2 linked regions of the Drosophila melanogaster genome follow. The protein of the gene in region 1 interacts with the protein of each later gene in a pairwise test. Each region holds a gene or a part of one and is shown on either strand. Other genes may lie near its edges.

Evidence for each region.
Region 2: the proteins of app (region 1) and Lasp interact in a two-hybrid assay, tested with the Drosophila melanogaster proteins (one large-scale study listed by BioGRID).

What each region holds. Positions count from the first base shown.
Region 1 is NT_037436.4:12,263,706-12,269,012, reverse strand, and holds the start of app (approximated), read left to right. Parts: upstream 1-2,171; 5' UTR 2,172-2,358; intron 2,359-3,266; exon of another isoform or gene 3,267-3,421; intron 3,422-4,102; 5' UTR 4,103-4,392; intron 4,393-5,307. Other genes in the region: CG32100 (uncharacterized protein), read right to left, coding at 1-1,255, 1,363-1,383. UniProt on the Drosophila melanogaster protein: Palmitoylates Dlish which is required for the apical cell cortex localization, total cellular level and full activity of dachs.
Region 2 is NT_037436.4:16,708,651-16,713,468, reverse strand, and holds the start of Lasp (lasp), read left to right. Parts: upstream 1-1,791; 5' UTR 1,792-2,457; coding exon 2,458-2,526; intron 2,527-4,818.

The sequences.
Region 1 (5,307 bases):
GCTTGCCCGGCTGCAATTGTGGTCCCGATTCGCTGTGCGTTAGCGATGTGGTGGTCGAAACTGGCTCCTGTTTGGCAGCCGACTGCTTTGGATTGCAGTTGGCATCGCAACTGGAATCGGCAGCCGATGTTTGAACGGGCTCTGCCAACTGGTTGTATGTCCTGCGTGGCTTCTCTACCATGCTCTTCTTGATCTCGTTGAGTAGGCGATTGTAAAAATCGCAGGTGACATCGTGAATCTCGGTCTCCTCGTACCGCTGGGCCTGTCCAGGCGTAGGAGTGGAATCCGAGCTGGGTTCACGCTCTATCTTGTCCAGCTTTTTGTTCGCCTTTTGCTTTTTGGACTGCGAACGGGAGCTGGCATTACTGGAGTAATTGGAACTGGAGGCGGTGGTGGTGGGCGTGGAGTTCGAGGGTTCGGTGGTACTGGAATCGGCGGACTTGGCCAGGGGCATCTCTGCACTCACCGCCTCTTCGCTGGCGCAGTTGATGGTCAGGCTGGCTATGTTGCGCAGATTGATCGTGCCATTGCAATTGTTGATTGTGATTTTTGGCTTGAAGCGCTGTTTGCGACCCTTGCATTTCGGTGGTTCTTGTACGCTGCTCTTTGATTTGGCAGAGGTTTCTCGCCCCAAGCTGGAAACGGCTTCGGCAATCGAAGATTCCAACTCGTCATCCAGCTCCTCCAAGTTTAAGGGCGGCACATATGTATCCCTCTTGATCTTGGCCTTTTTTATCAGATCCTTTGCCTCCTGCAGTGTAATGTTGATAATGGAGCGCTTGGCATTATCTTCGACGAGACTTCTGTTGCGAGAGAAGTCGACCACAATGGCCTCTGGTGGGGCACCGTCTTCGTCCAGATCGAGATACGATACTTGCCCATCCTGCAGGCACTTGTACATGGTCTCGTGGTCATCTAGTGGCTCTATGTAGTCCTCGTTCCTCAAACCCGTGGTGCGGTAATCCTGCAGCGCCAACTGCATATCACTGTTGTCCAGCAGAAAGTGTCCGTAGCTTCGGATGGCTGTCAGTAGTTTCTCCTCCGCATCCTCGCTTTCCCCGGGAATGAAACGCACACCACTTTGATCTTTCTTGCCAACCGAGTTCGAGTTCTCCATTTCGGTGGGCGACTTCTTCAGCAGCTGCTGCTGCTGTCGCGTGTTCGCTATGACCTCCAGTTGCCGGAGCAGCAACTTCTCGCGCATATGCAACGCAGCACGGATTTCATTGAACTTCTTTTGTACGGTGTCTTTGACCTGGGCGATGAAAAATTGGGGCGTGTATCAGTAAACAGCAGTCAAAACACACAGTCCATTCGGTTTTAGGGGGCTGAATATAAAAAAAGGAGAGTACAAACACAAACCTCATCCAGATTCTTGTCCATTTCGTGCGTGCTACTAAATACTTTCTCCTTTCTAAACGCTGCGCATTTTTTTTCATAAATTCCTGTGTATCAATATTTTTTGTTTGATCGATCAGCTGAGTTGCGGAGTGCCCGCCGCTTTTAGCTAATAAAAAACCAGAGGCTCACAAGGACTGGTACTTGTAACTGGTCACACTTTACATTTGGCGGGAAAATTGAATTTGCAAGTTTGATAAGAACATATTTCATATTAAGTATTATTTTGGCTTTATGCCAAAGATTCTGGTAAAGTTGTATTTAGTAAAAACACTTTCATATTCCTCATTAACGATCTTTCTGTTTTACTACAAAAGCACAAGCAAAATCTAGCAAAATAATATAGGCAGCTCTTTAAAATTGATGAAAGGCTTTGTGTTTTATTTATTAAATTATTTAATTATTATTTATTTATTTAAATTATTTAAAATATTTTGCCGGGTTGTTCAAACTTTTAACGTTAGCGGAAGTGCAAGCGCTGCCACCTTGTTGCTGCGCTTAACAGAGAGATCATACTTATACCGCTACGACACTACATTGTGGAGTCCAGTACAATGGAAGGAATTGGGTTTTAAGATTTCAAAAGTCTGAATTGTTAGGGCAAACAATAAGCACAAAATTCCAGAGATGAACTAGTTTATGATTAATTAAGCTCTTTAGAAGCATATTAATTTATATATCAAATGTAGTGGTGTCACAAGCACTTGAGCGGCTTAAAAGTGTGTGACCGTATGGCAACAGTAGAACAATCCACATTACAGAGCTCTGTTAGCATTGCAGAAGTGTTTTAACACACCCGAAATTCGGACACACCGTCGTCAGTTTGTTTTCATTTCAACTTTGCGTCGGGTTCACTCCAATTTTCGCACCGGAGGCGCGCATTTCAATTAAATTCGGGAGAGCGCTGAATGCGCACGCTGTTTCCCTAAAAGTTCAAATATTTAAAGACGAAAAACATTGGTAAATTATTTTGGTTATCCTATAAAAAAAATAAAAGATTCGCACTTGTGTTGAAAATACATCGGTAAATCCGATAAATCGCCGGGAAAATATGAAGAGATTTTGGCGCTAAATGTGTTCAAAAACAACTATTAATATAAACGTTTTTAAAATATTGTTGTGTGTAAAAATATAGATTGAAGAATTGACGTTCAAAAGCAAAAGCAAAACAAATCGAAAATCACCGCTTCCACGTATTTCTCAGCTGTCTTTGTCTTTGGCTCTGCCGTCTCTTTTCCACACGTCGCGGCGCCCTCAAGTGTTTGGTTTTGTAATTGCCTTTGCTTCGCGAAACTGTGCTGATTTAAATGTTTTTTTATGTACCGTTCTTAAAGTATTATTTCCCCAAATGCAGTTGAAACATAACAATTGTCGCGTGGCTTTTGCAGCGATGAGCAGAGAGAAAAAAGCAGCCGTGTTTAAATAACAATAGTCATCGCTTATTGTTGTTGCCCCAACTAATTTGAACTGTGCATGTGTGTGCGAGTCTGATTGTGCTTGTGTGAGAAGGCGCGTTGGCGTTTGTTGTTGTTGTTTTTTCTTTGCTCAGCAGCTCAGCACAAAAAATCCGAATGAAAGAAATATTCAGAGAATTTTGAGTTTGTTTCTCGTTCTTCCTGCCAAAGAGAGAGAAGCATAAAAAGAAGCAACAAACAAGACAAAACAATAAAAAAAAATCAAGGGAAACACAACACACATGCAAAGCAACAAAAGAAAAGGCAAATAAAAGAGAGCGAGAGAGCGCGAATTGTGTCAGTGACGCCAAAAAATTTAAAAATATCAATAATGCCCACCAGTGTTTTATTTTCGTTTCGCCAAACGGTTTATAATTAATTAACTGCAACTATATTTAATTGGTTTTGTGTCGGCATAGTTTTTATTGCTCTTTCGATTGTGTTTCCGCTGCATTTGCCGTCGTTCTGCCTTTGCGATTGCGAGACTGTCTTTGCAAATTGTCTTTGCGTCGGCGGGTCGTGACTGGATTCCATTGAATATTTTACAAACAGATGATGCATGTGGTTGTGTACGTATGTTTGTTTGTTTGTCGCCTTTAAAACCACATGTGCTTGGGTTGATTTCCTTAAAAATATGCTCTATAGGAATACAGTTAGTTGCTGCTTTTCGCTTTCTTGACTAGCATTTTTTTTATCGCGTCTAGCTTTCCGGTTTTTCCCTTTTCTCTCCCCTTTTTTTTAGTTCCATCTTGTTATCATCGCTAAAAACCTGTTTTGTTTTGTTTTTTTTTTTTTTTTACTTTTTTTTACCTGGTCTCCGGGTTTTTAAATTCGAAATTACCTCATTTTACACCTCAATCGCGGGGTGCTTTTCATTTAGTCGCTGCGACTAACCCACTAAATTGAATCATTTTTATTTCACCCGGATTTGTAGGTCGTCGAAATGTTGTTACACTTTCGGCGATTTCAAGATATCGCGTAAATATTTATCAGAAACGAAAATTCAGAAGTGTAAATATGCGATTATTGAAATCAAGTCTATAAACATCCACAACTGAGCCACCAAAAATTGTTTATTTTCCTGGAATTTTTACCTGTTTAGGGAAAGCAATAAAATGCGCAAGTAAACATGTAATATATAAATATGAAATATGTATATTTTAATGTACAGCAAATATCCGCAAAATTGACTTATTAATTAAATATAAAACTAGCATTGAAAATATTAAATATTCCAACATTGAAAACAGCACAGTTATAACACCTTAACTACAAAGTAAACTCGACAACCAAATGAAGACAAACCAATATCTACTGTATATTATTTTAAAAACTGTATAATCCACAACTATTTTAACCGAAAATCTGTAAAAAGAAGTCCATTAAACTATATTTTCGTGAAATTAACGCGTGTAATCGAAAAGCATTCGAGTACTTAATCATCATCGAAGGCGAATGTCGAAAAGTGTTCCGAGGTCAATGTTTCTGTTTCTGCTGCTGGCAACTCATCGCCTAAATTAAGTACACAATCTGCAGCGAGGTGAGTTTTATTCAGATATATATATATATATTACATACTACACCCCTGACCCTGGCCCCACTTATTTTGGAGTATTTCGAAATGCCTCCCACTTGTATTTGCTGCCCCATTGAGAGTTACTCGTAACTCCCTCTATATTTGTATATTTACCACTATACCACTATCTGTCTGCGAATCGTGTGAAATTGTGTGAAATACTTGCGATATTGTCGACATTGTGCGATGAGTAAGTTCAATACAAGTGGGCTAAGTACACACACAAAGCAACTTGAATGGAGACGCTAAACATTTTCTACATACTAACTAAAGCAAATACATCAAATGAACTACGCAATTATTTGCCTGGTAATATCAATAGGCTAATTTTTATAGGACTTCAACATTTTCACATCAGCTTTCTTCATGAAAATTTTGAAAACTTGCCTAAACATCGTGAATGCTGATTTACTATCAATGTTGCTATCAATCTCGAACTTTATTAATACTCAGTTTTTATATATGTTTCACTTCTTATCGAATCAAGATTGCCATGTCAGATAACTTACTTAACTTTTCTAGACATTGAACATTATTTTTTAGGTTCAAGGGAGAGTTCTATGTACTTATAAGTAAGGCATTAATTATGTAAATTAATAAATGATGTATCCACAGTATTTATTTGTTAATGCTCGAGCAAATAAAAGTCGTTAATAAATTCCATTTCGCAAATAATGAGCTCAGCAAGCATTTAACTCTTAATTTTTTTTTATTTATCATTCGATTTCTGTTGCGAAAATTGCAATATTCGGTTGATTTACGTTAATTTTGCATCTTTGTTGCCGTCGATAATTAATGCATATTAACTGCACTTAACGCGACATGGCGACAGTATACATAGGTATTCCTTTTGTTCGAATTGTTTTAATAGGTTCATTT
Region 2 (4,818 bases), 4.4 Mb from region 1:
TGTCCCTGCTCATAAGTATGATTAGCTTTTTAAGTAAACAAAGGAGAACGCTATGGTCGAATTACGCAGATAATAGAAGTGCGAGGGAGATGCAGGAAGGAAAGTAGAAAAGTTGACTGACAAAATATTTACCACCTAGAAAAGGTCTATCATGTCTCTACAACATGGCGTATGAGTGTAATTTGATATGCAGTGCTGTTAAAAGGGCAAAGTATCTTTAAAGAGAAACAATTTAGGACAGTTTTTCTTTTACTGATTTCAGAAATATTACTTTAGAACTTCGAAGTAGGGATGCCTGTGTTCAAAATACATAATATACCCTAATTCAATTGACAATACCAAATAAATTCGTTGTTGACATAAAACACTGCAATTTAAATCAATGTGAATGGCTTGCGTTTTTAGTTGATAATTTCATCATTCCTCACTAGCAAAAATTTCAAGAAAAAAAATTTCTTCCCACAAGAAGAATTACTTTAAAAAGACTTTATAGATGAAAAAATTCCGTTTTAAGGTGTTATTTGTATTACTTACATTTACAAGGACTCGTTTTCTTGCGCAGCGTCTGCATTTTGCTCAGAAAAAGCTGATTGGCATTCGTGTAGTAATTCCTTTGGCCGCGTATAATGTTGCGAATAATGATTGAGCCTTAAAGAGCTTTATTTATTTATGATTTATTGGACTTCCTTCGTTGTTTTATTGCTAATTGCCTTTTGTGATTTGTTTACACTTGTTTCGCTCTTTGCGTCTTCCGTCTCTTTCGCACTCCCCAACTTCCTGACAGTCAGCGTTTTGTTGTTGTTGTTATTGTGCCAGTCGGTCGATAGAACACACCGGCATTTGTCTCACTCACACTCGCACGCGCTCACACGGACACGGCACGGATTATCGATTTTCCAACGGGGGCCTCTGTGTGCGTGTTTACTTCCACTTTGCCTACTTTAAGGCGTTGTGGGGGGTGGGAAAGGGATGTAGCTACGCCTTTCATTATGCAGCGGTAAGCTATCTAACTTCAATTAACTGTTATTCGTTGTTTTTGATCCTTTCCCGTCTTAATATTGCACAACACGCGCAGCTTTCTTTGTCTGGCAGCCAGGAAAAAAAGTGAAGCACAAAGAAGTGGGTGACACACTCGTGATTTTGGCTGAGCGAAAAAACCAATTCGACTCTTTTGGCAAATATTTACAAGCTGATTTTTACGTTCTTCCTGCTTTGCATGTTATTGGCCATTAATTTAACCCAATTTGAATGGGTTTGTAGTTTAATTTGGGTCCTACGCCCTGGGAGCAGCAGGATATGCACACACACCGAAAATTCGATAGTAAAACTCCAAGGATTCGAGGGTGGTGGGTCAAGTGCCGCGGGCACCCTGTACGCCAGCCGGTACATAGGCTATCGGTCTATCGACGACAACCGATAGGTAATTGCTCGTACTTGCGGTACACACAATTACATATGTTTATACAAAGGTTTGACATAAATTGAAACTATAATAGTAAATTTCTCTGTTAAGCTTTGATAGAAAAAAAAAATGTAAAGATTTTATACCAAGGGTACCTTAAAGTTCGATTAGCTATCAAGATATTATGTCGTTAAAACTCGTATAACCGTTGAAGATCCTTTTTTAAATGATGATTTAAATTTTCTTGGTATTTTCTACAATCGAATAGATGGTCACACTGCAAAGCAATTTCTCCACAAAACAGTGGCGCCATTACGGCCGAAAAGAGAACTCAAAAACATAGCAAGACATCGAAAAATATTGCACCACAACCTTGCAACGGTCACTTTGCTCGCAGTCTGCTGCGGTCACTCTATTCGAACGGAACGGAATATTTATCGCGGATTGTCGCGTTATTTCGTTTGTGTCGCGCCTCCATCAAACTCACCTTAAAAATTAACACTCAAATCGTAGATTACGAGCTCTGTGCGGTGTTATCAAAAATAACGGAATTAATTCATTACGGACGCCTACGCCAGTCGTTCTTCCTCTTTTTCCACTGCGCGCGTCGCTTATTTTTACCTGCAGCGCAGTCGCGACAGCTGAAAATTAATAAAACGAAGAGAAAAGTGTAAATTGGATCACAATTGGTAACAAAAAGTCTATGCGATCGATCGCCAGTTGTTTTATACATCAACAACAACAAAGCAAACCAGTTATTAGATGTTTTTGTGAATAGTGTAAATCAAATTCTCGGCTCATACCTACACACACACCAAATACATTCCCGTAGTTCCTATTCAGATCCGATCGGTTCTTCGACTCGCAGATCACAGAAAATATGCAAAATTAAGCCAAGAGGAGCGTAAATTCGTGCGCAAATCGTGGGCGCAAAAGTGTCGTCAAAACGGGGAAAATAATCAAAGTTAACAGTAATATCCTGTTGTGTAAATAAAAGGCTTATACATACACACACAGTCGCAGAAGCAACAAACAAAGGAGGAAAAAGCGGCAAGATGAATAAAACCTGTGCCCGTTGCCAAAAGGTGGTTTACCCCATCGAGGAGCTTAAGTGTCTGGACAAAGTGAGTTACATTCCCTATGCATATGTAGACTATTTATCCTATTCAAATTCTATAATGTTCGCGGTGGCTCCTTTTTCCGTTTTAAGCCGCTCTTTTGTGCACTTGTTGCGGGCGCAAGAACGAGACGGCTAGCTAGCACATGGCCGTGGGTTCTGCTCTCCCGCTCCCTCTCCATGATTTTATCCCTTCCCCCATTGATCATGCGTGCCTTTTTGTATTTTTGTTGCTCTGCTTCTTCGGTGTTTATTATCCTATGCTTAATAACCGCAAAAGTTGTTTGGCTGCTTTGCCATTCGCTTCGCGGAATTCAAATATTTACTCGAAAATAACGGCGCAGCCTCGCGCGCGTCCCTGTGTGGGTGTAATGGCACTATTGCACTGAGAAAAATCACAAGATCGCTCTTTTAATACGATTTTCATTTCCACTGGAAAAAGAAGATGAAAAAAATCTTTATTTATTTTTATATTTTATATTTTGATAAAATATATATAATTTTCTACAAATTATAAAATCTATTTTTCTATTATACCATTTGATTCTAAGTGATATAATCTTTTCGTATCCCACGATCGATGCAATTGATCAGTTCAGCATTTTTGCTCAGTGTAGTAATGCGCGGGTGGCGACAACCAACAGAAATTACTGCTCACATTTTCGCCAACTCAGGAAATTTCTACAATTGCTTTTAATTTACGTTTGCCGCCGCCGCTTCCGCTGGCAGAATTTTCGGGCTCCCTCTCTAATTATATCGTGGCCTCTCTTTCCCGCAGCGGCGCTTGTTGCATTTCAATTCTTGCGATCTTGTGTCTTTTTCGCACGGCTTTTTTGGTTGCAGCCGCTTTTGTTGTTGTTGTAGTTCTTGTTATCTTTCGAAAAGCAACAAAAGCAAATCCGTTGACCGACCTTGAGCGCATATTTTCGAGACTTGAGACCAGTTTTTTTTTACTGCGTTCTCCACACACACGTACACACACACTTACGCTTAAAATCTGACACAGTGGTATTCGCGAAATTAGCAGCAGCTGGCGAAATGAAAATATAATTTTTTTATTTTATTTTTTATGTTTGAAAGTGCTGATTATCTTAATTCTATTTCCGCTTAAAAGTGTTTTGATAAAATACATATATATTTAAATATTTATTTTTTTCACCTAACTAATTATTTGATTTACTCAAATTTCTTGATAAATTTTTGAATTCTCTAGAATATTTTTAAATGAAAATACTTCGTTTACCGGAAATAAACACCGTTTTTGCATTCTTGGAAATCGTTGAGCTTAACGGTTTGTACCGTTAAGAGTTTAAATTGCAATGAATAGTATTCAAATAAAAATGGGAAAGATTCGTTTTTCTTAAGAAAGAAGTAGGATACAACATAGATTTTATAAGTTGGAAATTTGTTTTGTAGCTGAGCAATTAGACTGAATACTGTTGCTTTTACGAGGAGAAGACTATAATTAGTTGGCGCTTTTCAAACTGTAGATTTGCATAATGTTTGTACTATATTGACAATTAGTTTTCCAACTAAACGACTAAACACAGCTGTAGTTGCACGCAAAGTGGGGCTTTCGTTTCTCATGTTCAATGTGCCCATGGGCTTATTGGTTTACGCCTAATCCAGTTTATTTTAAGCGAACTTATATTTGCCTCTAAGTCTGGGGGCTTTTCACCAATTGCAGTTCCATTTTATTTTCGCCCTTGGCTGGGCTGTCTATCAGTCTGTGTTTACGTTTCGAGGGCCTGTGTTATTGTTGTTCCCACGAAATTTGGAAGCTGATAACGCAGCTATCGAGCCGAGCCACAAACATTTACATTACGAATCGCTTGGATCGGCTCGGCTTCCCCTTTGAATCGAATTGAATCCATCAACGAATTCCGATTGCCAATCAGTTTCGAGTATATCAGCAGCGTTGAAACGTGTCAATCTTGCCCCGTATAGAACTAATACCCCTTCAGCGCCAAGAAGCACATCCTAATTATAGTCTCGTCTTTCTAGAGTTTCTTCTTCTTCATCTTCTTCTCCCCTTCCGAGTCAGCAATTTCGATTCTAATTATAGACAATGGAGTAATGAAGACTATTTTAAAGTCACAAGACAGACGCACTGAAGTCGGTTATAAAACATTTATGTATGTGCGTCTGTGTGTGTTTTTCGCCTAATGGAAATGCTGAAACTTGTAAACACAACGTTTGATGGGTATGAAGTGAGGGAGTTGTGTGTGTGTGTGTGGGGGGGGGGGGGGGCGAAGTTTGAGGAGCATAAGTTTACCTTTACATTAAATTGCATTAGTTC